Ovis aries: one gene and its partner. The protein of the gene in region 1 purifies or fractionates together with the protein of each later gene. This does not show direct contact. Links are inferred from orthologs where the notes say so. Each region holds a gene or a part of one and is shown on either strand. Other genes may lie near its edges. The genes, in order: CAPN2 and AFG2B.

Region 1 (15,619 bases):
TCGGTGAGGCTGGTAGGGTATATGTGTGTCTGTCTGTGCTGGTGAGCCCTGTGGAAGGGATTGTGTGGTCAGAGAGAGATGAGGTTTTGCCAGATCCAGCGAGATAGCATTATGTGAGAGGCTCTGAGAAGTACAGGGCAGCAGTTATTCAGGTTTTAAAAACTGGATCTCTTCCAATGGTGGGCATGGTCATCACCGTGTGTAGTTATAAGTAAATGTTATGAGTTCCTTTGTGAGACTCCTGTGTGCAGAGGCCCTAAAGGCTGGCAAATCAGCTGCCAGGGCTGCAGAGAAAATTGGGCATTGCACCAGCCCAGAGGGAGGCAGTCCGGGGTGACGAGGAGGCTCCTCTGCCAAGGGCTGCAGGGAGCTTCTGTTAGGGCTGGTTTGCCTTTGTCACTAAAAGGCCTGGGGAACCTCAGCCACTTGCCTGGGAGAAGGGGCTTTCCTGAAACCGGCTGTCCTCCAGCAGACCAGCTGGAGAAGCAGTCTACCCACTTGGCTGCTGGAAGGGTGCACAAGTTTTCTCTCAAGAGCCCAGAGCTCAGCGCCCCAGTGGAAAGTCAATAGTGCAGGAAATTAACAATTTCCAGGAGGTGCTGTCTCTTCCCTCCCTTCTCCACTGGCATGGTTTCATGAAACTCTTGCATCAGCAACCCGTGAGCTAGAAAAGAATGCCTGCGTCCCCCATTTCACCCAAGGGTACAGAAAGCAAAGCCCAGTGCTTGCTGGTAGTGTACGAAACACATTCAGACTTAGATGGGGAAGACTAATCAGAAAGAAAGGCTGTTGCAATCAGGGGAATTCTCCGGTCTCAGAAAGCTGCAACAGTCTCAAAATCAAACAAAATGGACTTTGTGTGTGTGTTTAATAGAGTAAAGGAGGGGCAACAGAGATAAGCAGAATGTTTGGAGGGGAAGCCAGACAAACAAGGGGAAACGAATGGGGTCGGATAGGAAACAGTCATGCTGGAGTCAGCAGATTCTCAGGAGAAGCTGATAAGGGGGGGGCCCAGTCCATTTTTTTCTGTGTTGGCTTGGGCTTGGAGGCAAGGGAGAAACCTGATAAAGTCTGGTCAAGCAGAGGGTAAGAAATGGACCCCTGAACAGCTGGTCAAGGACAAGAATAGATGAAGAAGGAGGAGTAAAGCTGGTGAATACAAAACCAAGCCAAGTGGAGGCTGATTCCACAAAATCAGGCGTGCCTGGGAAGTCCACGCTCGAAGCATTTGGTGCACAGGGCTCAGTCCTCAAATATGAAAACAGACTCATGGCGGGCAATGCAATTCACACATCCTTCATCCTCTCCAGGAAATTTAGAAAATGGGGTGCAATAGGCAGTCCCCAGAAGATTCTGAGGGGGAGAGAGGTAGATCCTTCAAATGCAACCCCTACCCCTTTTAAGACGGATGTGTGGCCCTCAAGATCAACATCAGCGCTGACTTTAAAAAAGAAGCTGGCACCCTGATGATGGGCAAGTACAGACAGCATTGGCTCATACCGCCTGTCAGCAGACCTTCTGGTCATGGACTCTTTGGCTATGAAAGGACCCCAGAGGTCACCACCACCCCATCTCTGAGCCCCCTTTGGCCGAGGGACCCCAAACTGGCTGGCCCTCAATCATTAAAGACCAAACACTTTCTGACCTACGGAGCCTTGGCTGCACAGCCCAGAATCTGTATTTTTAACACACTACAAGTGATTCTGATATTCAGCCAAGCTGGGGAACTCCTGACCCCTTGAACGCAACCAGCAGTGCTGGACTCCCAGCATCACAAGGTGGCCCATTGCACATGGCCCAGCTCCAGCCACTATTTAATCATTTTTCATGGTGAATTAAAATCTGTGCCCCTTCAAATCTGCCACTAGTTCCTTCTCTCCCTCTGAAGCAACACAGAATGAACACATTTCCTCTTCTCCAGGACAATCCTGCAAACACTTGAAGTTAGTACTACCTGCCCAATATCCTCTTGCTTCCCCTGTGGCTCAGCTGGTAAAGAACCCACGTGCCAATGCAGCTCAACAGACATGGGTTCAATCCCTGGGTTGGGAAGATTCTCTAGAGAAGGAAATGGCAATCCACTCCAGTATTCTTGCCTGGGAAAGCCCAAGAAGAGAGGAACCTGGCTGGCTACAGTCCATGTGGTCCATGCAGTCACAGAGTCAGACAGGATGGAGCATGCACACATGCCCATCCTATTATCCAAGGAAAAATGCCTGTTTTCCTTTTTTTGCCTCTGTTTTCTTTGACTATTTCTTACCCATTTTATTTATTTAGTTAGTTTTGATCTAACTCATGAACAAAAGAGGGAACCCAGTGTATGTTCTTGAAAAATTAGTTCAAACAAGAATCTGAAAGAACAATTAGGAATACTAAATGGAATTTGTTAATATAAGCAAAACTGAGAGAGGGAAGACAGTTGATTGCACTTCTACCCCAAGAAGTTCATTTGCATATACACAGACAAGAATTATTTGCATTACTATCAATTTCTACATTGCACAGAGCAGTAAACATCCTGAAGACTATGAAAGGATGCTTAGGCACAGACCCTGGCAAGGTGATTAGGTTTCATCTAATTCTGATAGGGACAGAGTAGGATAATCAAATAGCTCTGAAATCCCACTATGAGATTATATCACTAGACAGAGAAGCAACTTTAGGAGGCTTTGGGAGACCACAGTAAGTTAGTGATCACTCAAGAAAGCCAGGTTTGCTTAACCACAAAATCAAGCAGGCTTGCTTAGTAACAAAACCATGCAACAGAAGCATCAGACATTCCCCCAAAACAATAAAACAAAGGTGGCATGAGGCCTATAACCTGACCAGTGAGTTCAGTAAGTTAATGACCCCTAGGACATGCTCTCTGCACACATAAAGAAGCAGGAGATATTAAGAAGAGGTGGCAAAAAGAACTGTACAAAAAATATCTTCACGACCAAGATAATCACGATGGTGTGATCACTCACCTAGAGCCAGACAACCAGGAATGTGAAGTCAAGTAGGCCTTAGAAAGCATCACTACAAACAAAGCTAGTGGAGGTGATGGAATTCCACTTGAGCTATTTCAAATCTTGAAAGATGATGCTGTGAAAGTGCTGCACTCATTATGCCAGCAAATTTGGAAAACTCAGCAGTGGTCACAGGACTGGAAAAGGTCAGTTTTCATTCCAGTCCCAAAGAAAGGCAATGCCAAAGAATGCTCACACTACTGCACAATTGCACTCATCTCACATGCTAGCAAAGTAATGCTCAAAATTCTTCAAGCCAAGTTTCAACAATACATGAACCATGAACTTCTAGATGTTCAAGCTGGATTTAGAAAAGGCAGAGGAACCAGAGATCAAATTGCCAACACCTGTTGGATCACTGAAAAAGCAAGAGAGTTCCAGAAAAAGGTATATTTCTGCTTTATTGACTATGCCAAAGCCTTTGACTGTGTGGATCACAATAAACTGTGGAAAATTCTGAGAGAGATGGGAATCCAGACCACCTGACCTGCCTCTTGAGAAACCTATATGCAAGTCAGGAAGCAACAGTTAGAACTGGACATAGAACAACAGACTGGTTCCAAATAGGAAAAGGAGTACGTCAAGGCTGTATATTGTCACCCTGCTTATTTAACTTATATGCAGAATACATCATGCAAAATCCCAGGCTGGATGAAGCACAAGCTGGAATCAAGATTGCCGGGAGAAATATCAATAACCTCAGATATGCAGATGACACCACCCTTATGGCAGAAAGTGAAGAGGAACCAAAAGGCCTCTTGATGAGGGTCGAAGTTGAGAGTGAAAAAGTTGGCTTAAAACTCAGCATTCAAATAAATAAGATCATGGCATCTGGTCCCATCACAGAAAATAGATGGGGAAACAATGGAAACAGTGAGATACTTATTTTCTTGGGCTCCAAAATCACTACAGATGGTGACAACAGCCATGACTAATAGATACTTGTTCCTTGGAAGGAGAGCTATGACAAACCTAGATAGCATATTAAAAAGCAGGGCCATCATTTTGCCAGCAAAGGTCTATATAGTCAAAGCAATGGTTTCTTCCAGTAGTCATGCATGAATGTGAGAGTTGGACCATAAAGAAGGCTGAGCACCGAAGAACTGAGGCTTTCAAACTGTGCTGTTAGAGAAGACGCTTGAGAGTCCCTTGGACTGCAAGGAGATCAAGCCAGTCAATCCTAAAAGAAATCAATTCTGAATATTCATTGGAAGGGCTGATGCTGAAGCTGAAGCTCCAATACTTAGGCCACCTGATGCAAAGAGCTGACTCATTGGAAAAGACCCTGATGCTGGGAAGGATTGAGGGCAGGAGAAGGGAGTGACAGAGGATGAGACGGTTAGATAGCATAACCGACTCAATGGACATGAGTTTGAGAAACTCCGGGAGATGGTGAAGCTTGGTGTGCTGCAGTCCATGGGGTCACAAAGAGTCGGACAGGACTTAGGGACTAAACAACAAAGAGACAATGGGACACAGAGAGGTATCTGATCTCTAGGCCTCGAAGGTCCCCACCACACTGAGCCTATAATCTTTGCAGATATCTCTGGTGATTGCTGTGTTCTGGAAACAGGTCCTTTATCTAAATTCTTCAGGCCATTATCAGGAAGGTCAGTTTCTTCCTGAGTCTCCTGGGCCTCCATTGTTTCCAGCTCAAAATAATCCACATGCCAAATAAGACATTTTGAGGTGGCAAATTTTGCTTCCTTAAATAAGAAATGATTTTTTAGTATGCCGCCATTCACTGTTTGGAACATACCTATAGTGAAAAATCATTAGTGTTTACTTGAAATTCAAATTTAGCTGGGTGTTTTACTGAATGAAACTTCGTGTGCCCGACACCCAGTGAGGCCAAACAAATCGAAACAGTTTGGAGCAGAGGAAGGTTTATTGCAGGGTCATGCAAGGAGACCGGGGTGTCTCATTGTTAAAAAGCCCTTAACTCACTTAAGGAATTCAGCAAAGCACCTTTAAAGGCAAGCTGAAGGAGGGGCATGGTTAGCTGTTGCAAACTTTTTGGTGTTGGAATCCTTTCTTAGCTGTCCATGTAGGTCAGGTCAAGATGTTCCCATAAACTTTCAATGAAACAAATGTTATTCTCTGTTCCCCAACTTTTTATCTCTATGTGAATGGACTCTTTTAGGTCAGAGCCCTGAGACTAGGCTCCCCTATATATTTCAGGCTATAGGCAACATTTTTTTTTTTTTTTAACAAAAGGTGCAGAACCAGCATGAGTAAGCACAGGCAACACAACAGATCTAATATGGAATCAGATTTGTTCTTCCCTGTTACAGGTGGATGTATTTTTATTTGCCAAATCTGACCCTGCTCTCTGTGATCGTACAGCTAACTAGTAGCAGTGTGTAGCCTTCTGATTGTAACACGCCTCTGGTAACTTGGAATCCTTGTTCCGCCCCAAATTAGCTGAGCAACACTGGGTGATGTCATCTAACCTCTCAGTTGCTCAGTTTTCCCATCTGTCCAATGGAGTCTATAGCAGAGAAACCACCTTCTTACAGAGCTGATTTCGTCTCCTCCAGCTCTCTCCCCTTCTAACTCACAGGGTGTTTCCTGGAGAGTCAGGATAGCCCCAGCCTTGGGTTTCCGCCAGCCTTCTCCTGCAAGTGGGAAGCCGGCTAAAGTGAGACTGGATTTGAGTCCCCGCTTTTCCACCGGGATGCCCTGGGTGCTCGCAGCCGGCCCGCTCGGCCATCCCGGGCGCCGTCCGCAGGTGGCAGCACCGGCCCCGCGGGCCGCCGCCGTCCGGCTGGCGCTGTGCAGGCCGCGGGCCGCCAGGGTCCCGGGTGGGGCGCCGAGCAGGCCGGGAGCGGCCAGGCCACGCCCGCAGGGCGGAGGGCGCCGCGGGACCCGGTGAATCATCGCCGGCGGCGGCCGCTCACAGTCCCGCTGCCGCGCGCCGGGCCCTGGCCGCGCCCCTGCCGAGCGCCGCTCATCGCCGCAGCCGAGACCCTCGCTCGCTCGCCCGGCGGCAGCGCGGGCACCGGGCCAACCATGGCGGGCATCGCGGCCAAGCTGGCCAAGGACCGGGAGGCGGCCGAGGGGCTGGGCTCGCACGAGAGGGCGGTCAAGTACCTCAACCAGGACTACGCGGCGCTGCGGGACGAGTGCCTGGAGGCCGGGGCGCTGTTCCAGGACCCCTCCTTCCCGGCCCTGCCTTCCTCCCTGGGCTTCAAGGAGTTGGGACCCTACTCCAGCAAGACCCGGGGCATCGAGTGGAAGCGGCCCACGGTAGGGAGCGCGCCCGGGGCGGGATGCGGGGCCCGGAGGCGCTGCGGCCCGGCCTCCGAGCTGGCGAGAACGCGGCCCCGCGCGCGGGGAGCCGCGGGAGCGCGGGGAGCCGAGCCCCGCGGCCCGGAGCCCGACCCGGGGCTCCGCTGGCGCGGGGTCGCCCGCGTCCCATCTGCCACCCACGGGGCCCTTAGGACGCGCCGAGGTGCACACTGCCCACATATGGCACTAGCAGGCCCGCCGGCAAAAACTCTCAAAAACGCGGGTGACATAAGGGGGCCTGAAGGAAACTTCTTGGACTCTGCCGGGCGGGCCCGAGAGAAGGGAGGCCGCGGGTGGGGGCGGGCGGGAGACCGGGGCGTGGGTGTTACGGAATTTCGCGGGGGAAGTCGGCCTCTAACTTGGTTCTCTCTGCTTCAGGGAGAAAGTCCACGCATAGCCTGGACGTTTGTGACTAGGGATCGTCTTTTGAAGTGATGGTTAGATTTATCCACGCAGTTTCCTGTTTATTTTTCCAGATGGGAACTGGCAAGACAGCTCCCTGTAGTATTTACCCTGGTGATTATCAAAAGGACAGGGGAGATGCAGCCAGGAGCCGCTTCCTTCTCCTCACCCCGGAATCTCCCGGCCTCCTCTGAGCTCCCTTTTCCCACCGGCCCCGGATCTCTGTCCTCCGTGCCCTGGCAGGCCTTGGGTGCAGTTTGCTTCCCTGATCAGTTTGTACATCCTGTGTCCCTGGGATCCCTCCTGGCCCCACCTCCTATGGGACAGACACCTCTCTGGCCTTCCCCCACCACACCCCAAGGAGGCCTCCTGGGAAATCCAGCCTCTAGATTCCTGTTAGGAAAATAAGCATTCCTGTCCTGCTTACCCCACCCCACCCCCCGAACCCCCACCCCCACCCCCATCAGCTGGTCACCTTCTGTTACCCCAAACCCAGCCTGCAGGCAGCAAGTGCAGTAGGAGGTACCCTTGGCCCAGAGCACTTGAGTTCATTTCTTGCTAACTTGAGTGAGCTGTTTAACCTCTGTGCCTCCATTTCTTTATCTAAAAGAGAGAGTTTCCTCTCTCCACTGACTCACCAAGCCCAGCACCTTTTAGTTTCTCAAGGGCACCCTGCTCTTTCCTGCCTCACTGGCCAGAGATGCTCTTTCTTAGTTTTCTGGAATCTGGCTCACTCATTCTTTGGGACTTAGGTGTCTCCTCCCCAAAGAGATTTTGTCCTGACCATTCGTTGCAGCCCCCCTTCTCATCTTGTCATTCTTTATCATGAACTTTATCATGCTAATTTCCTTTACAGCATTTCACAGTTCGTACACATAATTACATGTATTGGTTTGTCCTTCCTACTGAACTGCAGGGACCTGTGTGTATTGTTCACCAGTCAATCCCTGGTGCATTCAGAGTATGCTTTCATTTGTTCATTCATTCATTTAGCAGTATTTGTTGAGGGCTTGTTAAATGTCAGGCACTGTCTTAAATGCTTGGGATACATCTGTGAACAAAAAGACTCTTGGTGGAATGAATGAATGAATGCAAGATTGTAATGAGCCTCAAACAAAATTACGACTGTGAAAGTGATAAACGAGAATGTAATTGCCTTATGTTTGTACAGTACTTGACAGTTTGTGAATTTATATACTTCTTTCCTTATTCTTTCATTCATTCAAAAAGCTTATATCGAACACCTACTGTATGCCAGGCATAGTGCATATTGGTTTTTGCCTCTGAAGGCATTAGGGGTTAGACAGACAGGTCACCCATCAGTTGGGAATGCCTGTAGGATTTCCAGATGGGAAAATGGAAATCTAAGCCCATTTTAGAGCCCCAGGTTAGGGCGGGACAGGGTATGAACTGAGCAACTAACGGGGAGGGCAACAGGTATAGACCCATTAAGCAGTTGAAGAAACTGAGGCTTGAGAAGGTTAAATATTTGCTTATACAGGTGTCTGGGGCTGGAGCCAGGACTGTCCGCCTGTGGGTGTTTAGAGTCCACAGTTCGCAGCCACTCTCTCTGCCTTCTCAAACAGCTGTAGTTCAGATCAAGCGAGACAAACAAAAATGTATCCACTGGATCTAGACAAAAGCAAGTCACTGGTGACTTTAACAGAGCAATTGCCATGGGGTAGAATGAGATGGTTAGGTAGCCTCACCAACTCCATGGACATGAGTTTGAGTAAACTCTGGGAGATAATGGAGGACAGAGGAGCCTGGTGTGCTGCAGTCCATGGGGCCAAAAAGAGTTGGACACAACTTAGTGACTTAACAGCAACAACTGAATTGCAGTGGGTAGGAGCCAGACGGCTGTAGACCCCAAAGTAAGGAGCCAGAAATGAAGAGCGTGCTCGGGTAATTCCAGAAGCGTTCTTGTGAAAGGAGAGGAGGGAAAGTGGCAGGGAGAGTAGGACCTGGGACTCGAGAGGTTTTTTTTCAGATGAGAGCAGTTGGAACGTTTTATATGTCAAGTCCCAGGCTTCCCTGGTGGCTCAGTGGTAAAGAATCCGCCTGCAATGCAGGATCCACAGGAGATGCAGGTTCGATCCCTGGATGGGGAAGATCCCCTGGTGCAGGGCGTGGCAACCTACTCCAGTATTCTTGCCTGGAGAATCCCATGGACAGAGAAGCCTGGTGGGCTACAGTCCAAAGGGTCGCAAAGAGTCAAGACATGACTGAGCATGCACACAAGCATATGTCAAGCCCCAGAGAGAACGGAACTGAAGAGAAAAGGAGGCCCCGAGGAAGTGAGAGGAGGGAGGGGAGCGGGCCAGCCCTGGAGCCAAAGGGCTGCCCTTCCTCAGAGGGGGTTTCCCAACACCCTTTCCCAACAGAGGGTTCCGCAGATGGGAAGAGGACACGGCTAAAGTCACTGTGGGCTGGTCACCATCAAGGATGGCACCAGTCAGGTTGGAGCGAGGGCAGACATGTCAGTCCCCACCTTGCCCTGACCGGTGCAGGCCTATGGGCTATTAGGAACCGGGCCACACAGCAGAAGGAGAGCAGCAAGTGAGCAAGCAAAGCTTATCAATGTTTACAGCCGCTCCCCATCGTTTGCATTACCACCTGAGCGCAGTCTCCTGGCATATCAGCGGCGGCATAATAAATGTAACATGCTTGAATCATCCCCAAACCATTTCCCCACCCCACCCCATCCGTGGGAAAATTTGTCTTCCACAAAACCAGTCCCTAGTGCCCAAAAGGTTGGGGACCACTGATCTAAGAGCTTTATGACTTGTTTACACTCAGCTAGCTGAATTCAGCCTCAAACCTGCATCTCCTGCCTCCAAGTTCAGTGATTATGATACTCCTTCAATAACTATAATAGTCGGTAACTTATATAGTGCTTACCAAGGCACATGTACATAGTCATCTCATTTAAACTTCGTAGGTACACTTGTCATCACTATCCCCATTACACAGATGAGGAAACTGAGTCTTAAGGAGGTGAAGTAACTTGCCAGGGTCATAAAACCCACTGTATAAGAAGTGGCAGAGCCAGGAGTCACACTCCAGCTAACTCCAAAGCCCAGGCTCTCAACCCCTTTCCTGAGACTGTGATGTTCCATATTTAATTCATGCCCTTCATGCTGTGTACAAGTTTCAATTTCCTGAAGCATCTCTAAGAGCCACTCTAAACTTTGCCTTCTTTGGAGAGGCTGCCAAAGGTGTGAAAAATTTCTCAAAAATAATGGAAAAACCCTTCTGGGATAAGTGCCTGGTGCACCGAGGATTATCAATATGATTTCTAGGCTCCCAGCACCAAGTTCCGTGTATTCCATCAGCAGGATAAGTGCTTGGCTGGCAGGCCTCGGACAAAGCTGGCTTCGTCTGCCTCAGCAAAAAAAGCATTCTCACTGTGCCTGTCTTCCCCCAGACAGACCCACCCAAACAGGGAAGGGACAATGCAGGCATGAGAGGAGTGTGCTCTGCTGTGGATTCCAGAAGGGTCTCCAGTCTAAGCCACGATGGACAGGGGCTAGATCCTGGCCTCACCCAGGAAACGCTTCTGCTTGACAGAGAGGGGGCCCACCGGGCGCTCTGGGGTGGAGCTTCTCCAAATCAAAGGGTCCCGGCCAAGGGAAGCCCTGATTTATGCTCTGTGTTTCCTCTGTGGTTTTGGGTGGGGCTCTTCAGAATCAGGAAGCATGCTCAGAGAGGGCAGCAGAGGGGCCAGCCCTGTCCAAGTTTGGCTTCCAGTAGGCGACCTGTGGGACAGCCCTTTTTGGCTTGTTAGTAATCATTTAGAGGCAGTTCAGGAGGGAAGGGAGTGTACAGATTACAGCAGTCAAATCCCATTGCTGTCTGCAGCCATGAGCGATGCATCTTGGGACACGTAGCTTCATCTTAGCCTGTTTCCTCACCTATAAAATGGGGTTGTTGCCCATCCATGTTCCTGAGATAAAGCACCACACACAGTATTGACATACAGCAGGCTCACAGTATGTGGACCCCCTGCTCCAAGTATCATGGCCTGTAGGCAAATCCAGAAAGCTAGACACCTTCCCCTATCCTCAAGAAGCATAAGTATTAGGAAGACATAGTGGTATCCAGCACCATGTACAGCACACATCTAGCTGCTGAATTGCAGAGGATAGATACTCTGGGATTCAGGATGGAAAGGATGGGTGAGGGCCAGACTGTGAAGGAGGGCTTCACGGAGTTCGTGGCAGTGGGTCTTGAGATATGATAAGATGTAGAAAAGGAGGGAACTGGGTCGGAGAGGAGAAATCCCATGCAGGAACAGAGGAGGGGGCGGGCATGGTGGGCAGGGCAACTCCAGAGTGTGGACCATCTCCAGGCCCCCACACGAGGCTGGACTTGGCACTGCCCTGGCCCTAGGAAGTGGCGTGATGAAGTAGGCTCCAGGCAGTGTGGGGTATTGGGATCTGGTGGAACAGTAGGATCCCCTACCACCTATCAGGACCCACAGAGCAGGAGTCAGAGAAGGACCCCATGGCAGTCCAACGGCCAGGCATTCCCTAGAGGAGAGGGGAGAGACAGAGGGGTCCGGTGCATCTGTTGGAAACTGAGGTGTGTTAACTACAAAAGTATATGGCATATACGCTGACAATACTTTGTGGGTCTCATTTTCAGGAGATCTGCGATGATCCCCAATTTATTACTGGAGGAGCCACTCGCACAGACATCTGCCAAGGAGCCCTAGGTAAGTGATGGCATCTAAGCAGACTACAGGGGCCTGTCTACACAGCTGTGGGTAGAAAGAGTAAGGGATGAGTTATGATTCCGCTCTCTTGCTAAACCCTTTGGCAATTTCTATTTCCAGAAGCTTCCTTGAATGTCTTGTTTCCTTAGGATCCTGTGGTGTGGTAGACAGACAGACAGAGGTGCAGTGAGGACACGTGTGTCCCCTGCACCAGACTGGGCTGTTTGTTGCTGTTGTCATTTTAAAGAGTTGAGATTATTATGTTTTTTTACTATGTATCTATTTTTGTGCTGGGTCTCAGTTGCAGCATATGGACTTTTCAGTCTTTGTTGCAGCATGCGGGATCTTTAGTTGTGGCACATGGGTTCTAGTTCCTTGACCAGGGATCAAGCCTGGGCCGCTGCCCTGCAGTGCGAATGAGAAGTCTTAGCCTCTGGAACACCAGGGAAGTGCTGGGCTAGTTGCTGACGTTGCATAGATGCTCCCACTGGGGGACAGAGGAGCTCCTGGATCTCAGCCACCCTTAGTGGCCCACGGAGCAGCCAGGCTCCAGGCTGAGGACCAGTTAGGAGGACTCCCCTGGGTCAGCTGCAGCACTGAGACATCAGTTCTCTGTGGTTCAGGGATGGGATGGTGACTCATTGTAAAGGAAGAGGAAACCCTGGTAGTCACTGCTGGGAGGAAGTTAACGTACCAGGGTGTCCTCAGTGTTTGCAGGGCAAGCTCACCATGGTATCACAACAGTGGACATGGTGCTGTTGTCACAGAGGCAGTTGTGATGTTCACTTAAGTAGTTTTAACTGGAGTAACTGAGTTGTGAGGGTATCTGAAGCCGGGCTCTGATTTCTGAATACAGTGCCTGCTGAGACTGGAACATACAGGCTGCTTTGACCTGAAAGCACCTGAGTTTTATTTTTTTATTGATTTTGTTGAAGGATAGTTGATCCACAGTGTTGTGCTAGTTCCTGCTGTACAGCAGTGACTCAGTTATACACATACATGTCCTTTCTCACACTCCTTTCCATTATGGTTTATCACAGGACCTTGAACAGTTACCTGTGCTCTACAGTAGGACCTCGTTGCTTATTGCCCCCAGGGTTTCTTTGAAGAAGTTTTAGCAAAGGAGCCCGGGACCACTGTTTAAGATTCTCATAGAGTCCACGCTTATTGTTTTACTCCTAGTAGGTATGAGCCTATGATCACGGGAGCAGCTTACTTTGCTGCAAATAAACCAAAACCTTACTTTGAGACGTCAGCTTCGACTTGTTTTCCAGACTAGCCCATCAGTAGCAGAGTTAATCGTCTTTGAATTGTGCCTTCTTTCCTGGCCCACCCAGCAGAGGTTCTGTCCTGGGAGTGACTTGCTTAAGGTCATCCCGCAGCTGAAGCGAGGGCCTGGAATGCAAATGCAGACGGTCTGTGTTTAACCCCTGAGCTAGACTCCCTAGAAGGGACATGGAAAGTTTTCAGCCTCTGAGGGATGTCGGGGCAGCTCTGTGAATCATTAAGACGTTAAGACAGGGTATGCTGGGAGCCCCTTGGGAAATGGAGAGCATGACTCAGAGCTAGGCGTGCAAACTCCACTATCTGAGCTCAGCATCTGTGTGCAAATTCCTGAGATGCCAGAGCACACTCTTACCTAAAGAATACCTACCTCCCATTTCCTGCCTTCTCTCCCTCACAAAAGATAGACCCAGGGGCCCTTAGGCACCTAAGGTGGGTACTCCAGAAAAGTCCAACTGGTTAGAGAAAATGAAAGTTAATTGAGCTAGAAATTGATGGAGATTACAACTAACCACAGGGGTTTTAGAAAAATCTGGAAACAGAAATGGCAACAGTCATATCTGGGCTAAATTCCACACCTGGGCTAAACATCCACTTCAGAGCTTAATGACCTCTTAAGGACCAAATTGCAAGATGTAAGTCCTGTTGGAATACTGTCAGGCCATTTGGAGAGGAGACACAAAAAGTTTACATTCCTGGGGTAAAAATCGACAAGATATGTATCAAATTAAATAAAAACAAGTCTAAGTTAAAGTCCTTTCAAAACTTCTCAGTAATTAGGTGTCATTTCTAAGTTTTGTTGGTTTGTTGTTTTTTTTTTTACACCACATTGGCCATTTTGTTCTCTTGGCCTTTTGTACTGGAGGATCCTGATTTGATTATGAGCTGTGAAATGTGGTGAACTGAACTCTCACCCTGATTCTGGCATCTGGGCAGAGGGTGGGTGTGGGGTGGTGGCTGTCACCAGGTCCCTGAAGGTTCAGAAGCATCAGGAACAAAGGGCAGCAACACCTGCCACACGACTAGAGACAGGAGTGGAGGCTCAGCTTGCAGTTGGCTGACCTCAGTCATCACTAGGAACCTCAGTCTCTTCTAAAAATGGAAAGTGAGGAGGGTCAGCAGGGTGATCTCAAAGATTTCCCGACTGTGGGGCATTCAGCTGTTCTAGAGTCACTCCTCATGCCTGACACTGAGTGGAGATCTTGGGCTAGGCCACCAGATCTCTCATCTCAGACGAGGAGTGATAACAGCCCCTGTGACCCCATGTATTCGTGCTAAATCGCTTCTGTCCTGTCCAGCTCTTTTCAATCTTATGGACTGTAGCCCTCCAGACTCCTCTGTCCTTGGGATTTCATAGGCAAGAATACTGGACTGGGTTGCCACGCCCTCCTCCAGAGGATCTTCCTGACCCAGGGATCGAACCCGTGTCTCTTACGTCTCCTGCACTGGCAGGCAGGTTCTTACCACTAGCACCACCTGGGAAGCCCCTGTGACTAAGAAACAGTGTGCAACTCGTGGAGCATTTTCATCTCGTTATCTCATGTAATAAACATTATTACATGTAATAATATTATTATCTCATCCAAATAAATATTTTCACCCCACTATGCAGATAAGAAAGCTGAGGCAGCAGGTGGGGACTCCATGCAAGGCCACATAGCTAAAAGTGGCCCAAAGAAAGAACTCGAATATGATTTTAAATCTTTCTACATTCTTCTCCCTCCCATCACGAGTTGCCATGAGGCTTTGTTGAGGAAATATGGAGGTAACATTCTCAAAGCAAATTGTATTTCCTTACCTGTACTTTTTACCCGGAGATTCACTCAGTTTGCCAGGGAACCTGGGCCGGGGCTGTCCTTGGACTTGTACATCTCCCAACAGGGCTCCCTTCACAGGGCTGCCTGGTAATAGTTAATCCACAGATTTCTACCACCTTCCCAGAGGGTCAGCTCAAAGCCTCACCAGAGTAATCCTAACTGTTTGTAGGCTGCTCTGATGTGAGCCACCTGCGCTGCAGACCTTGGCTGTGCTAAGCACTGAGTCAGTGAAGAAAAATCTGCCTCTCTAGAGGAAGGGCTGGAGATCCAGGCTGACCTTCAGCCAGGCCGCCCTGCAGCTAAATGCAGCCTGGAGTTGCTGCTGGTAGCCTCTTATGACAGGTGATGGCCGTGGTGGCCCCCAGAGCTGGGAGACCCGAGAGCCGAGCTCCTTCTGCCTTTGATTTTCATGGGGCCACTGCTGAGCTTTCACACTGCCCCTTTCACATAGCTCCCCAAGGTCCCCACTGCCCTCACGGCTCTCAGGGGAAGGTGGCTGCCCTGGCCAGGTGCCCGCAAAGGCCCTCAGCTTCTTGAGGGAGGGCTCCAGGCTGCCAATGCTGAAACCGCACAGCCCCGTGTCTTTGTAACCTGGCCCCCGAAGGTGGATCACCCAGCCTCTACCCTCACCCTGCCGCTGAGGGTCACACAAGCCCCACAGCACCTGCTGGGAGGTGTCAAGGTGTCTCCCCTCACAGCCAAGCTCAGCAGAGAGTGGGGAGCCCAGAGCCAGTGGGAAAAGCACCAGGAAGGAGGTTTCCAGTTTCGGCTTCCTCTCCTGCTTCCTAGCCCGCGTGACAATGAGCAGGTTAACCAGGCACTCTGAGCCTCTGTTTCCTCTTCTAGAAAATGGGAATCATGATAGTACTTCCTTCCCGGGGCCGTGGTGAAAAATGCAATTAATATAGGCAAACACACTTGGCAAATTGTAGAATCCTGAGCAAATTCAGCCTCTCCCTATTTTCCCATTTTTAAAGGTTATATAATAATCATTTTAAAGTGATTCTTATAATTTTTAAAAGCCACTTTAATAAGCACCTTAAAAAAATTTTAATAGCCTTTATTTGTTGGAACAGTTTTAGATTTACAGGAAAATT
Region 2 (14,930 bases), on another chromosome or scaffold:
TTCAGAATAGAAAGCCTTCCCTGGAACAAAATAAAACATAATATGTTTAGAAGCTTAATGTTTGACATAATGTTATATTAAGACATACAGAATTTTCTATATTACAGAGAAAGTATATATATTTAAGAATTAAAAAATAACAATCACTTTTTCTCAAGAGGTAAGAAAGTAAATGTGACATCAAGATAAATTTTAATATTTTTATAATTTTTAAAAAGTAAAATAGAGTAAAAAAATTTTTTTCATCCTTCAAAATCTGATAAATAAAAAATGCATTTTCTGTGTCTTTCACCACTCACTGCCAGTGGCTCTGGATGTGAAGGACAAAGGGTTTATTGATTCTTTGGCTGTGGATACATTATATAATCTCTGTAAACTCAGATTTCTCCACTGTAAAATAAGGATGCTCACCCAGATAATCTCCAAAACTCTTTAATGCTTTAGGATTCTTCCATTCTAGCTGCAAAATAATTTTGAGGAGACTCCATAAACTCAGTATTTTGAGTCTTCCACGAAGCTGAAATTACTACCATTTTTTAGGTTTATGTTTCTCTGAAAACAGGGCCAGAGTACCCAGCAAAAGCAGATGAAAATGATAATTTATGATGGGCCATTAGGTAAGGAAAAACACAGAATCCAACATAGGACACATACCATGTACACTTACATCCTGTCAGGAACTCAACTCTGCCATCTTCTTAGAACTCAGACACTGATGTTTATTAGGAATGCTCACACAGAGTAAATGTGCACAGTGATTACCTTTTCATCTGGAGGTGGAATATAAATAATCTTATCTAGTCTTCCAGGCCGTAACAAGGCATCATCTAACACATCAGGTCTATTTGTTGCTGCAACAACCATGATGTTGCTATTGAAAATTTCTTGAAACTCTAGCTGAGGGAAAATATACAACACAAAGTAACATCAATAAGTTGTTAATTACTAAATGTATTTTTTTTATTACAAATCAGCAGGTCTGTTTGTTTTAAAATAGGAGAATGCTGTTTTCTTCAGACTAGAATGCTTACATTTCCTATCCAGACCACCTTCTCAATATCAAGGCACCCTAGAAACAAATTATTAATCAAAGAGCTACACAACACGCACACGGTGAAGGGAGTGATCAACCCCAGTGGGGCATCCTCCATGTGAGAACTGATGAAAAGAGCCCTACACCACAGCAGAGAACATCCATCTGCTGACCTGAATGCATCTGAGCCCCAGTGAGTGATCACAACTTAAATGCATGACTTGAAAAGACAGAAGCATCTGACTAGCACATAGTATACCTATGAAAAGTCTTGGCTCTCATGTTCTTGAAGAGGGAGATTTATTTTACCTCTTTTTTTGTTTTTTCTTTACAGAGGCAAAAAATACGACAACTAATATAAGTTGCATGTATATAAATCCAGGATGAAGATTTTTTAAAGAATATCTAAGAGCTGCTACGGCAAGGCCTTACACATGCTAAGCGTTCAGAATTGTTGAACTTAATTTTCAGAGCAGTTTCTCAGTAATGTGATCTCTCAAAGCAATGAGTTCCCTGTATCTTCAAGTATTTTAGCAGAGACTGGGTAAACACCTGTCAGAGGCTATAGAAGGAATTCCTGCTCTATGAGAAATGATTAGAACACCTCATGGGTGCCTTCAAATTCTAGTGGCATATGCTCCTAAGGAGCTATAAGATTCTCTTTCTATGGAACAATTTAAGAAATAGGAAACAAGAAAAAATGAATAAAAGCTTTAGAAGGAACAGGATTTCCAAAGGTCACTTTAACTGCATTAGAACCAAGGAAACCTCAACAAAACTGGAAGTTTTTAATTACTGATTATTGGAAATAATAGTCTGTTTTCTTTCATTTCCCATAAAACACTCATTTATCAGGATACAGAAATAAGAAACTCCCTTCTCCACTAGCAATATGCAGTTACATTTCTAATCTTAGGGAAAAATTCACATTCATACATATCTAAGATAGTTTATTATAAAATTTGCCTCATCTTCCCAGCTAAATCACAATTTTACCAGCTCTGTAAAAATCCTAATAGTCAAAGTGAAATTATATAATTCTATGAGATGAATCCAGCATAGGAAAAGATAGTATAGATGCAGTCTAATTATTGTTGGCCTGGATTTTTGGTGTATCCTGGCTAATAAATACCTCTTCATTTTTTTCCAGCTGCTTGCATTTACCATGGTGATCTGATTTACTTCCTCTTCTCTCTATAGTCTTCAATCCAACACCATCTAATTCATTTAGGAGAACAGAAAGAACACGATCTTGAACATTACATTCTGTTCTGCTGATTGATCGAGAGCCCAAGATTGAATCAATTTCATCCAAAAACACAATTGCTGGTGTATTTGCTCTTGCTTGTCGAAATACCTTTTGTTCAAAAGTGGAAATATTAAAAGGCTATACATCATGCCTTATTCATATGAATGAATGCTTTCTGCACTACTATTTATAATTTTTAAAATATAAAAAGAAAGATTATAAATGTCTAAGAACTGGGGAATGAACAAATAAAATAAAGAACAGTATTATACAGGGGTTAAAAATCTTATTTTCAAAAAACATTTAATATTACTGAATTTTAAAAGTGGTAACACTAAGCTAAATCACAATAAAGATATATATGTATGTATATGTATACATATGTGAATGGATATATATATGGTGGTTTGGTGGTTTAGTCACTCAGTCGTGTCTGACTCTTGTGACCCCATGGACTGTAGCCTGCCAGGTTCCTTTGTCCATGGGATTCTCCAAGCAAGAATACTGGAGTGGGTTGCCATTTCCTTCTCCAGGGGATCTTCCCGACCCAGGAATTGAACCCAGGTCTCCTGCATTGCAGGCAGATTCTTTACCGACTGAGCTATGAAGGAAGCCGGGATATATATATACATATATAAAATGAGTGGATAGGTATATATTATCCACTCATTTTATATATGTATATCCACTCATTATAGTATTATATATATAATATCCATTCATTCCCTTGCCCAAGGAAACAAAACAACAAAGAAAATTCACCCAAATGTTAACAGTAAGTAGAGAGATTGTGGAGGATTTCCTATTTATACTTTTCTATATTTTCTAAGTTTTCTATACACAAATAGGTATAATGTTCTTAACAGTAAAAATAGCCAGTTACATTAAAAAAAATAAGGTTTATTCTTAATGCATGAAACAAAAATTAAAAAGTAAACTTAACTACATGAGGGAAAATAAACAAACCAACCTGAGACAAGATTTTCTCTGAATCTCCAACAAAAGGCGAGAAGAGATCAGCTCCGCTCACTGAAACGAAAGAGCAATGACAGCTCGTAGCCAGGGCCCTCACCAGCGTGGTTTTGGCACACCCAGGGGGCCCATATAGGAGAACTCCCTTTGGTTGTGTCAGGCCCATCCTAACAAATTCCCGAGGGAATTTCAGAGGCCATTCAATGCTCTAAAAGAACACAAAAAGAGACAGGACACAAAAGGAGACAATTGTCTTAGTATAATGTGAAAAAAATTTTTTTTCAATAAATTCATTCAACAATCTTCAGCTACCTGCTATGAGCTGGATATGGGGTCTAATCTCCACACAGCAGCCAGTGAGCTTATGACATAAGTGAGGTCACATCACTTCCTGCTTAAAATCTTTCAATGACTTCTCGTCAGAATTACAATATTCAAATCCAAACTCCTAACTTATCACTGCTTAGAAGGCCTAACATAACCCATCACCCAAACACCCCACAGTTTGCTCCCATCTCAGGGCCTTTACTTGCTAGTCTCTCTGCTTGAACACCCCCTGTGATCTTTATATGCTATTCTGCATCACACAGGTCTCCACTCAACAGTCATTTCCTTGGAGAGGTCTTCCCTAACCACTGTAGTTAAAACAGACCTTCTTCCTCCTGGGCACTCTATGCTACTACCCATTTTTTAATTTTGGAGCACTAACTCATTTGCTATCTGAAATTACTGTATCCCCATGCTGAGTTTGTCATTCTGCTCTTGCCAGAATGTAGGCAAAGTTCACCTCTAAATCCCCGTCACCTAGAATGACACCTTCACAAAGTAGGTACTCATTAAATGTTAGCTGAATTATAAATAAATCTTCAATACCTCTGAGGTAGACGATTTTGTTATCATAATTTCAGAGATGCAGAAACTCAGGCTTAAAAAGTGAAGTAACTTGCCCAGGCCTTATTACCTTAACGTGAGTGAGGTAACAGAACTAAGACTAATCCCAGACAGTGTAGGTCAAGAGCGGGAGTTCTTAACTACCGATACATTGCCTCTACAAAAAAAGACAGACAAGATCCCGTACTAGAAATTCCTATTGTAACTGGGGAGACAGGCTTAAAAACTAACAACCAGGCCAGAGTAGGGCATTCCATGGACAAATATATACAGAGACACATCAACCATCCAGTTCATCTCCCAGTGGTAAGCAGAACAGGGTGGAGGACGTGGGAGGCAAGGAGTGATGGAGCTGAAATGGAAGTAGGAGTCAGATCACACTGGGCCTTGACAGTTTCAGTCAACAATGAGGAAGCAGTATGGAGAATGAACTAGAAGGAAATGAAACCAGAGGGACGGAAACCACTTAGCAGTGGTCAATGAGTGCAATGACTCAGACTACAAAAATAATAAGGCTGGATGTGTCACAGGCAGCAGAGATCGTGTGGGAGGGATGGACCTGAAACATACAATGTAAGTGTACTTTATGCAGGGGGGAAGTCCAGAGGGGAAGGTATGTGACATGCAACATGACATGCATCTAGAAGACAGGTCTCTGACTTAGGGGATGGGGCAACTGGCTGTCTTTACTGGGAGAGGGCATCCAGCTATAGAGATGGAATTGGTAAGGTAAACTCTGGACATGCCATGCTGAATCCGAGATCCCTAGAAGTTATTTAGTATGCAGGGAGTTAAGTAGTTTTGATGGTCAAAAGAACTATCTGCACGGGTTATAAAGATTTCTGAGTTAGCTGCTTTCAGGAGACAGCTAAAGCCTGGGACACGCTTCAGGAGATGAGAGATGAAGGACTCACTTAGAAAATGCAAAAAGAGGACTCTTGGGAGCTTGGAGAATTAACATTTAAAATAAGGGAGAGGAGTGCTCAAAAAGGTAGGAAAGCCTAACATCTCAGCGCTAAAGGAAGACAGTGTGTCTCACAGGAAAGTATGGCTATTTTGTGAAGATTAAATGAGAGCATATTAAAAAATTAGAGCATATTTAAATGTGCTTTAAGAAAACAGGAGATATCAAGGGAACATTTCATGTAAGGATGTGCAAGATAAAGGATAGAAATGGTTAAGGACCTAACAGAAGCAGAAGAGATGAAGAAGAGGTGGCAAAAATACACAGAAGAACTGTACAAAAAAGTCTTAATGAACCAGATAACCAGGATGGTGTGGTCATTCATCTAGAGCTGGACATCCTGGAGTATGAAGTCAAGTGGGTCTTATGAAGCATTACCACGAACAAAGTTAGTGGTAGTGACAGAATTCCAGCTGAGCTATTTCAAGCCCTAAAGGATGATGCTGTTAAAATGCTGCACTCAATATGTCAGCAAATTTTAAAGACTCAGCAATGGCCACAAGACTGGAAAAGGTCAATTTTCATTACAATTCCAAAGAAGGGCAATGCCAAAGAACATTCAAATTATCATACAATTGCATCATTTCACATACTTACAAGGTTATGCTCAAAATCCTAGACTTCAGCTGGCTGAAGTGAATTGAAAACTAGATGTACAAACTTGATTTCAAAGAGGCAGAAGAAATCAGAGCTCAAATTGCTAACAGTTGTTGGATCATGGAGAAAGCAAAGGAATTCCAGAAGAACATTCACTTCTGTTTCATTGACTATGCTAAAGCCTTTGATCGTGTGGATCACAACAAACTGTGGAAAATTCTGAAAGAGATGGGAATATCAGACCACCTAACCTGCCTCCTGAGAAATCTGTATGCAGGTCAAGAAGCAACAGTTATAACTGGACATGGAAAAACTGACTGGTTCAAAATTGGGAAAGGTATACAGACTATATATTGTCACTGTGCTTATTTAACTTCTATGCAGAGTACTTAACTTCTATGCAGAGTATTTAACTTTCTATGCATCATGTGAAATGCCAGGCTGGATGAAACCCAAGATGGAATCAAGACTACCGGGAGAGGGATACCCCTGACGTTCAGTGGTTAAGACTCCACACTCCCGAGGCAGGGGCCCTGGGTTCAATCCATGGTCAGGGAACTAGATCCCACATGCTACAATGAAGATGGAAGGTCCTGTATGATGCAACTAAGACCCAACACAGTCAAATACATACATACATACATATATATACATACACAAAAATACATATATACATGCTGCTGCTGCAAAGTCTCTTCAGTTGTGTCCAACTCCGTGCGACCCCATAGACGGCAGCCCACCAGGCTCCCTCGTCCCTGAGATTCTCCAGGCAAGAACACTGGAGTGGGTTGCCATTTCCTTCTCCAACGCATGGAAGTGAAAAGTGAAAGTGAAGTCGCTCAGTCGTGTCTGACTCTTAGCGACCCCATGGACTGCAGTCCACCAGGCTCCTCCATCCATGGGATTTTCCAGGCAAGAGTACTGGAGTGGGTTGCCACTGCCTTCTCCTATATATATACATACACACATATAAATATGCACGAAGATTACTGGGAGAAATATCAACAACCTCAGATATGCAGATGATACCACTCTAAAGGCAGAGAGTGAAGAGGAACTAAAGAGCCTCTTGATGAGAGTGAAAGAGGAGAGTGAAAAAGCTGGTTTAGAACTCAACATTCAAAAAAACTAAGATCATGGCATCTGGCCCCATCACTTCATGGCAAATGGGAAGGGAAAAAGTGGAAACAGTGACAGATTTTATTTTCTTGGGCTTCCAAAATCACTGTGGACAATGGCTGTGGTTTTTCCCAACAGCTGTGTACAGATGTGAGAGTTGGACCATAAAGAAAGCTGAGTGCCAAAAAATGGGTGCTTTCAAATTGTGGTGCTGGAGAAGACTCTTCAGAGTCCCTTGGACCACAAGAAGATCAAACCAGTCAATCCTAAAGGAAATCAACCCTGAATATTCACTGGAATGATGCAAACAGCTGACTCACTAGAAGACCCTGATGCTGGGAAAGAGGGTGGGCAGGAGGAGAAGGGGGCAACAGAGGATGAGGTGGTTAGAGAGGAACAAAGACTCAATGGACATGAATTTGAGCAAACTCTGGGGGATGGTGGAGGACACAGGAGCCTGGTATGCTTTAATCCGTGGGGTCACAAAGAGTCAGACACGACTTAGTGACTTAGCAACAACAAAATGTGCCTATCCATGGATACAAGGATATCAGGGTTCACTGTACATACAGCTCCTAGTTAAGATAAATAAATTATAATGGATACTTATAAATTAGTCTTGTGTGTGCTTGATTTGAGAAACCTACTTTCTTATGGCAGGATCACCCAAAAGGGAATTAGAAAAATTAATTTCTGGAACTGCAATGCAGGTAAGAAAATCCGGTGAGCTGTGACCCTTAACAGCCACTGTGAGAATCAGTATCAAGTAACTACTCAGGCCAAAGTGACTGTTAATTTTGTGTTTTTACCAGTTTGGGGGTAAATTCAGGCCTATGAATGAAGAATTTGTACAGTCTATGAACTAAGAATCAGTTTTACATGTTTAAATGTTAAAAAAAAAAAAGAATATTCTGTGGTGTGAAAATTATATGACTTCAGTGTCTATAAATAAAATCTCATCAGAACACAAATACTCATTACATATGACTGCTTTTGTGCTGTGATAGCAGAGTTGAATGACTGCAACAGAGACCATAAAACCTAAATTATTTACTCTCTGGTCCTCCACAGAAAGAGTTTACTGACCCTTCATCTAAATTAGAAACTCTTTAGAGCAAAAACTAAGCAAAAAGATGAAGAAAGAAAGTATGAAAAATGGCATTTGATGTCTGTAGAGTCCAGTTAAACAAGGACGGAAAAGCAATCATTGGATCCAGATGTTGCTGCTGCTGCTGCTGCTGCTAAGTCGCTTCAGTCGTGTCCAACTCTGTGCGACCCCATAGACGGCAGCCCACCAGGCTCCCCCATCCCTGGGATTCTCCAGGCAAGAATACTGTAGTGGGTTGCCATTTCCTTCTCCAATGTGTGAAAGTGAAATCGCTCAGTCGTGTCTGACTCCTAGGGACCCCATGGACTGCAGCCCACCAGGTTCCTCCGTCCATGGGATTTTCCAGGCAAGATGTTAGGTTCCCATTAGTGAAGGCAGCCATAAGTTTCAGTGCCACTTGTTTACACCACAAGTGCATTACACTTAGACCATCATATTCTACTGGCCAAGTAGATTCTCTATCTCACCTGCTTTAATTTCAGCTTTACATCTTCAAGGCCACCAATCTGCTCCCAGCCAACAGGTTTGATGTCTGTCAGTCCAATGACACTTCGAAATGACGAGGGTTGGATCTTTTTAAAAGCTTCAAGGAAGTCTGTTTCATCAATCGTCGGATTGTCCTGGTTCTGAAGTAATCCACCCCAAAAAGCGAAATCAAACCAAAAATCAGGTGGGCCTTTTTTGTGGCACACAAACATGATTACTTTTTTATTGTGATCCTCATTTGAATTTATACATCTATTTTGTTGTCACTATAAAGAAATTTATAACACATGATATGAAAAAATTAAATGTCTCCCCCTCAACTCCCACCAATCTTCATCCCCAGAGAATGCCAACAGTCTCCTGTGTATTCTTCCAGTATGTTTATGACATGTGTATATCCTTTCAAAAAGACACACAAATGGGACCATACTGTACACATTAATTTGTACTTTTTCATCTCTCAGGAATCTTTTCATGTCCACGAATACAATAATACCTCATTCTTTCTGACAACTGCATAACATTGCGTGAGTATTTTAATGACACCTTTGTATTGAACAGAGGTTTCCCAGTCTTTTGGTACTAAACACAAAGCTGCAACTGAATGTCTTTGTACACATGTTCAAGTATTTTATATAATACTTCCCTCAAAATAGAATTACTGTGCTTAAGAGTATGCACACTTACAATTTTCATAGCTACTATTAAAATGTGCTCCAAGCTGTACCAATAATATGAAGCTATTTTCCCCACATCTCTCTAACACTGGACATGACCAAACCTTAAATTTCTGCCATTGTGACAGAAGACACGGTGTTTACTATTGCGTTAATTAAATTTCTTCAATCAAGAGTGAGGTAAAAAGAATAATGGAATTAGAAAATAAAATTTTCAACCATTACAGTAATGGCTATTTGAGGCAAGAATCATCAGCGGATGCCAATCTAGGGGAGAGAAAGTCTGACGGGGAACAGGATGTCTGCATTGTCTCAGAGGGTCTCCTCACAGATTTCTTATTAGTTGCAAAGGGAAAAATAACAGCTCTACAGCAGACAAACCGGACCAATGCTTGACTAGTTGATCGCACCAGTCACCCACAAGAGGCACCCCCCGTGAGGAGCCGGTGGACACACTAAGTCTCCACAAATGACATCCTAAGAAGGACACACTAACATTTAATGCAGTGCTCCCAATGGGCATGCATAACCTGAATCTAACTAGGAGGAAACAGACACATCCAAATTGATAGATGCTCTATAAAATCACTGACTTTAAATCTTAAAAAATGTCAATGTCAAAATGTCGCGCACACACCAAGAAAGTGCTATGAAAATGTTCAAAATTAAAGAAAACCAAAAACTAAACATAATACATTGTCCTGGACTAAATTCTACACTGAAGGAAAAGAGTGCTATAAAACTTGAAACAGCCAGCAAAATCAAAATAGGGACTGTAGATCTGACAACATTCTTGAATATAATGAGATTATACATACTTGTTCATAGGAAATGGACACTAAAATATTAAGGGATAACAGGTTAAGATGCATGCAACCCATTTTCAAATGATTCAGAAAAAAAAAAACAATGTGTATATGTATACAGTTGACCCTTGAACAACATGGAGGTTAATCCTTATTTAAGTAGAGGTAGCCCAACAAATCTGTTGTTCCCCACATCCGTGGATTCAGCTAGTCCTGGACCGTGCACTATTTGTAGGATTTACTATTGAAAAATATCTATATATAAGTGAACTGGCGCAGTTCAAACCCACGTTGCTCAAAAATCAACTGTATATATAGAGACAGAGAGACGAGAGAAAAGAGAGGAGGATAAAGCTAATATGGCAAAATGTTAAAAACTTGTCAGTTTGGATAAAGGAATTAACAGGAGTCCTCTACCTTCACCTCTCCTTGAAGTTTTAATTCAAAAAAATTTTCCCCTGAAGCTTTAATTATTTCAAAATCAGTTTTTAAAAGAGAAAGAATCAAAAAAGACGAATCTTTAAAGAAAGTTGAGGATTTTTCATGTTTATTAGTCATTTGTAATCCTTTCACTGTCAACTACCAGTTCATCAGTTCATATTTTATATACATTTTCTCTTAGATTGGTCTTATTGCTTTGTAAGACTTCCTTCTATACCAAGGAAATTGGTCTTTTGTCATGGGCTGAAAGTATTTTTCCCAGTCTGTCTCATGTCCTTGCCTTTGTTTACAGTATTGTTTGTTTTGCCTTTGAACTTATCATCTTTTTTAAAAATAGTATTGTTTTGCCATTCTAGAATGGTCAAATCAGTAAATATCTTCTTTTTGGCTATTAAAAATTCACATTTCTATTTGTAATATCTGTATTATATTTAAGTATTTACCCTTACATAAAATTCTGAATATTTAGTTGTCCCCAAATTCCCATTTTCAATAACAAACTATTTTATCCCATTTATGTAAGATTAAATAAGTGAATATATATATACAGAGCTATCATTAACTGTTCCTAAAAATGCTAATAACTATAATCTCTGGGAGATGAGCTTTCAGACAATTTTTATCTTGTTTAATTTCTCACAAAGAATGTTATTAAATAATTTTTTTAAATAGCATCTTTTTTTTTTTTTAACTAGCTAGCAGTATCAGATATTGGGTAAATGAATACTAATACACTTTAGGTGAGTACCAACTAACATTTGAAAATCCCATTTACACTTCCAGATCATTAGTGTGTATGTATTATTCACTTGATTTTCATAACCCTTTCAGGCAGATAAAATCCTTTCCCCTCCATGTGTATATGTTTATGTGTTAAACTGTATTTCCAATGCTTTAATAGACATACTTGACAAGAAGCTGAACAAACTCTAATGTGTCCTCATCTGCCCTGTAATAGAGGCGGCAACAGCCCCTCAGCTGCCTAGAGATGGAAAAAGAAATAGATGGAACCAGTACCTACCCAGATGCCTCTGTCCATTCTTCCTTTTTGCCTTTCTTTTTTTCCACTTCCCCTGGTTGTTTATGAACTCAGCCATCACCTGTGCTAACCATGCCTAGGCAGGCCCTCCTGAAGTAGCAGTGGGCTCCACCCTAGGACAACTGCAGCTGTCTGGTCCACCTAAGCCAAGGTGCTTTACGTCAAACCGGGAACTTCAAAGCAGAGGGAATTCTAAATGTAAACCTCTGTTCCTGCATCCTGTACTCGCGTCCTCCATTCAAGAGGCATATATTCTCACATCTTCACACATGGGACTTGTCATTAAATCTTTAAGCACTTCTGGTTCTAAACCCCAAAGATGAGGAATTAAAGTTCACGTAATTCCTTCCCTACCTTCAGTGTAAGAGTAAAAATAAAGGAAAAGAAGATGAGGAAGGATTAAATTAGGTAAAAATGTTTTCAAAATCTAGGATAAATCATCCTCTTATGGTTTAAAAAAAAATCCTCAAAATTAGGGGTAAGATCAAAGGACAATTTTATGTGTTACAACAGAACCCCTAGCACAATGAAATTAAATTTTTTCTGGAGGAGTTTAGGGACTCAGGATGACTTATTACATACAAAGTGAACAGATTTTCCAATCTATAGTGTTGAAAACTACTACATTTAAGTTAATATCCCAACTATTTTTTCAAAAGGCACTCATGAATTAAGGATTTAAATGTCAAAGATGAATTTAAGTAAAATTCCAGGCACCTAATCTTCTCCAGAGTAAGAAAAGGTTCTTTTCCCTACAAGATGCGTATTGATAACAAAGGGAAAAATAGTATCTTAACAATGGAGAAATCTCAGAGATAACGACCTTATCTAAGATATCAAATCGGTAACAGGACAAAGATATATCATTTCTACCTAACAGACACAATGAGAAGAACACAGTATCATTTCTGGAATATTTCTGCCAAAAATGCAAAACCTGACTCAACTCACGAGAAAATATCAGTCAAACCTACACTGAGGAACATCCTACAGAACAACTGAACTGTACTCTTAAAAATAATTAAAGTCATAAAAGAAAGACTGAAGAAGTTTCTAGATTAAAGATTAAGAAACCATGACAACTAAAAAACGCAATGTGTAATCTTGGATCAAAAAAATTTTCTTTTCTTTTTTCCTTTTAAAATTTTTGCTACAAAGGAAATTAATGGGACAAATGGTGAGATTTGGATAAGGTCTATATAGATTAAGTAAAAGTTGGTATTAATTTCTTCATCTTGATTATTGTTTGTACTATTGGTTAGTCTGATTTTAGGAAATAAACAACTCAACTTTTCAAAGCTATGCGGGCATTCTGGCTGCATTTGAGAGTATGAGTATATATACATAAACATCCATACACATGAAGAGAGTATGATAAAGCAAAGGTGGTAAAATGTTACGTTTGAAGAATCTGGGTGAAGAAAATGAAAAAATTCTTTGTACTAGTTTTACAACTTTTCTCTAAGTCTGAAGTAGATTCAAAATAAAATGAAAATTTTAAAGACACATGTTTGATTCTTCTGGGGTCACAGTGTCTTTTTCCTTATTGCACTGGGCTTTAGCACTAAAGAGTTAGTATGGGAGAATGGGAACATGCCCTCGACCGACCTAGAGAAGTCAGCTCTCTGTCCCCACTTTCAGTCATACACTAGTTATATATGGAATTCAGATGTAAAAATACATATAAGAAACAGATGTCTAAGGTGTCAAAAGTTTCAGGAAAAGGTACTTACCACTTTTTTAAGTCCCCAAATTAACTTGTTACATTAATAAAAGGGTTAACATAGGTCATAAACCAATACTTCTTACCTTCTCACTATGAAGGAGAGCCTGCATGGCAGCCTCCCTACAGAGTGCAGTCAGGTCTGCGCCAACATAGCCAACTGTCATTTCTGCAAGGAGGTTCAAATCAACTTGATCAGAGATAGGCATCTTTGAAGTAATCACTTGTAGAATTGCCTTTCTTTGTCTAAGAGTAGGAGTTCCAATGACAACCTATGTGCAAAGCAAGAAAAGAAAACATTTACAGCTTAAAAATATTTTTTTATCCTCACAAACGTATAATAATTTAGCAAACAAATCTGGAACTATTACTAGGTACTCTTAAGTACATATCTTAGATTCTGAATATGAGAAAATCCTTATTTTCAAGAGTGAAACAGCTGGCTTGAAACTCAACATTCAAAAAACTAAGATTATGGCATCCGGCCCCATCACTTCCTGGCAAGTAGAAAGGGGAAAAGTGGAAATGGTGACAGATTTTATTTCCTTGGGCTCCAAAATCACTGTGGACAGTGACTGCAGCCACAAAATTAAAGGATGCTTGCTCTTTGGAAAGAAAGCTATGACAAAAATCTAAACAACGAATGAGAAAGCAGAGATATCACTTTGCTGACAAAGGTCCCATATATCAAAGCTATGGTTTTTCCAGTAGTCATGTAGATGTGAGAGTTGGGCCATATAAAGAAGGCTGGGTGCCTAAGAATTGATGCTTTCGAACTGTGGTGCTGAAGAAGACCCTTGAGAGTCAGTCCCCTGGACTGCAAGGAGATCAAACCAGTCAATTCTAAATGAAATCAACCCTGAATATTCACTGGAAGGACTGATGCTGACACTGAAGCTCCAATAATTTGGCCACCTGATAAAAAGAGCAGACTGATTAGAAAAGAACCTGCTGCTGGGAAAGACTGGAGGCAAAAGGAGAAGGGAGTAAGAGAGGATGAGATGATTACTTAGCATCACTGACATGAGTTGAGCAAACTCCAGAAGATAGTGAAGGACAGGGAAGCCTGGTGTGCTGCAGTCCATGCAGTTGCAAAGAATCAGACATGACTTAGTGACTGAACAACAGCAACAACGTCAGGAAGTTTTTATTTTGTTATTTTTCAGAACCTATCACTTTCTAGGAGCCAGTAAATCAGAAAGTCTATGTCCCTACCCTTATGGAGCTTATTCAGCAGACAGGTATTAGATGGTGTGAAGAAGAAATCCACTTAAGTTCTAAACAGATTATGCTAAAGTCTGCAATTATCAGCTGTCTCTTTACAACCCTACCACAAAGTTCAAACATCACAACCACTATTCAAACTATCTAACAGAAATCAAGAATCAATTTAGGGCTGAAGTTTATAAAATAATACTTGAATATTTGAATATTTTGAATATTCAATCTTCCTGACAACTAAGAGAGCAACTGTGGTACAGGATGCTGGCATTCAGACAAGGAATGCATAAATCTAGATAGAAGAGTTAACGTCTGCTTTGATTTATTTCTTCCCTGCCTTCTTTCTCATTTCAACACATTTGTTTCTTGAGGCTATCCTTCTACTTTAGATTCTCATTCCAAATCCTAAGAGTTTAATAGCTTGTTCAGTTCAGTTCAGTCGCTCAGTCGTGTCCAGCTCTTTGCGACCCCATAAACCGCAGCACGCCAGGCCTCCCTGTCCATCACCATCTCCCGGAGTTCACTCAGACTCACGGCCATTGAGTCGGTTATGCCATCCAGCCATCTCATCCTCTGTCGTCCCCTTCTCCTCCTGTCCCCAATC

What was found.
Region 2: the proteins of CAPN2 (region 1) and AFG2B purify together in Homo sapiens (co-immunoprecipitation; 3 studies listed by BioGRID and IntAct, with this or other methods). This does not show direct contact. The link is inferred for Ovis aries from reciprocal best matches to the Homo sapiens genes CAPN2 and AFG2B.

The regions. Positions count from the first base shown.
Region 1 is NC_056065.1:26,311,892-26,327,510, forward strand, and holds the start of CAPN2 (calpain-2 catalytic subunit), read left to right. Parts: upstream 1-6,023; coding exon 6,024-6,260; intron 6,261-11,351; coding exon 11,352-11,421; intron 11,422-15,619. UniProt on the Homo sapiens protein: Calcium-regulated non-lysosomal thiol-protease which catalyzes limited proteolysis of substrates involved in cytoskeletal remodeling and signal transduction. Proteolytically cleaves MYOC at 'Arg-226'.
Region 2 is NC_056060.1:63,170,305-63,185,234, forward strand, and holds part of AFG2B (ATPase family gene 2 protein homolog B), read right to left. Parts: intron 13,378-14,930; coding exon 13,192-13,377; intron 8,560-13,191; coding exon 8,401-8,559; intron 3,463-8,400; coding exon 3,253-3,462; intron 2,391-3,252; coding exon 2,166-2,390; intron 898-2,165; coding exon 763-897; intron 21-762; coding exon 1-20. UniProt on the Homo sapiens protein: ATP-dependent chaperone part of the 55LCC heterohexameric ATPase complex which is chromatin-associated and promotes replisome proteostasis to maintain replication fork progression and genome stability.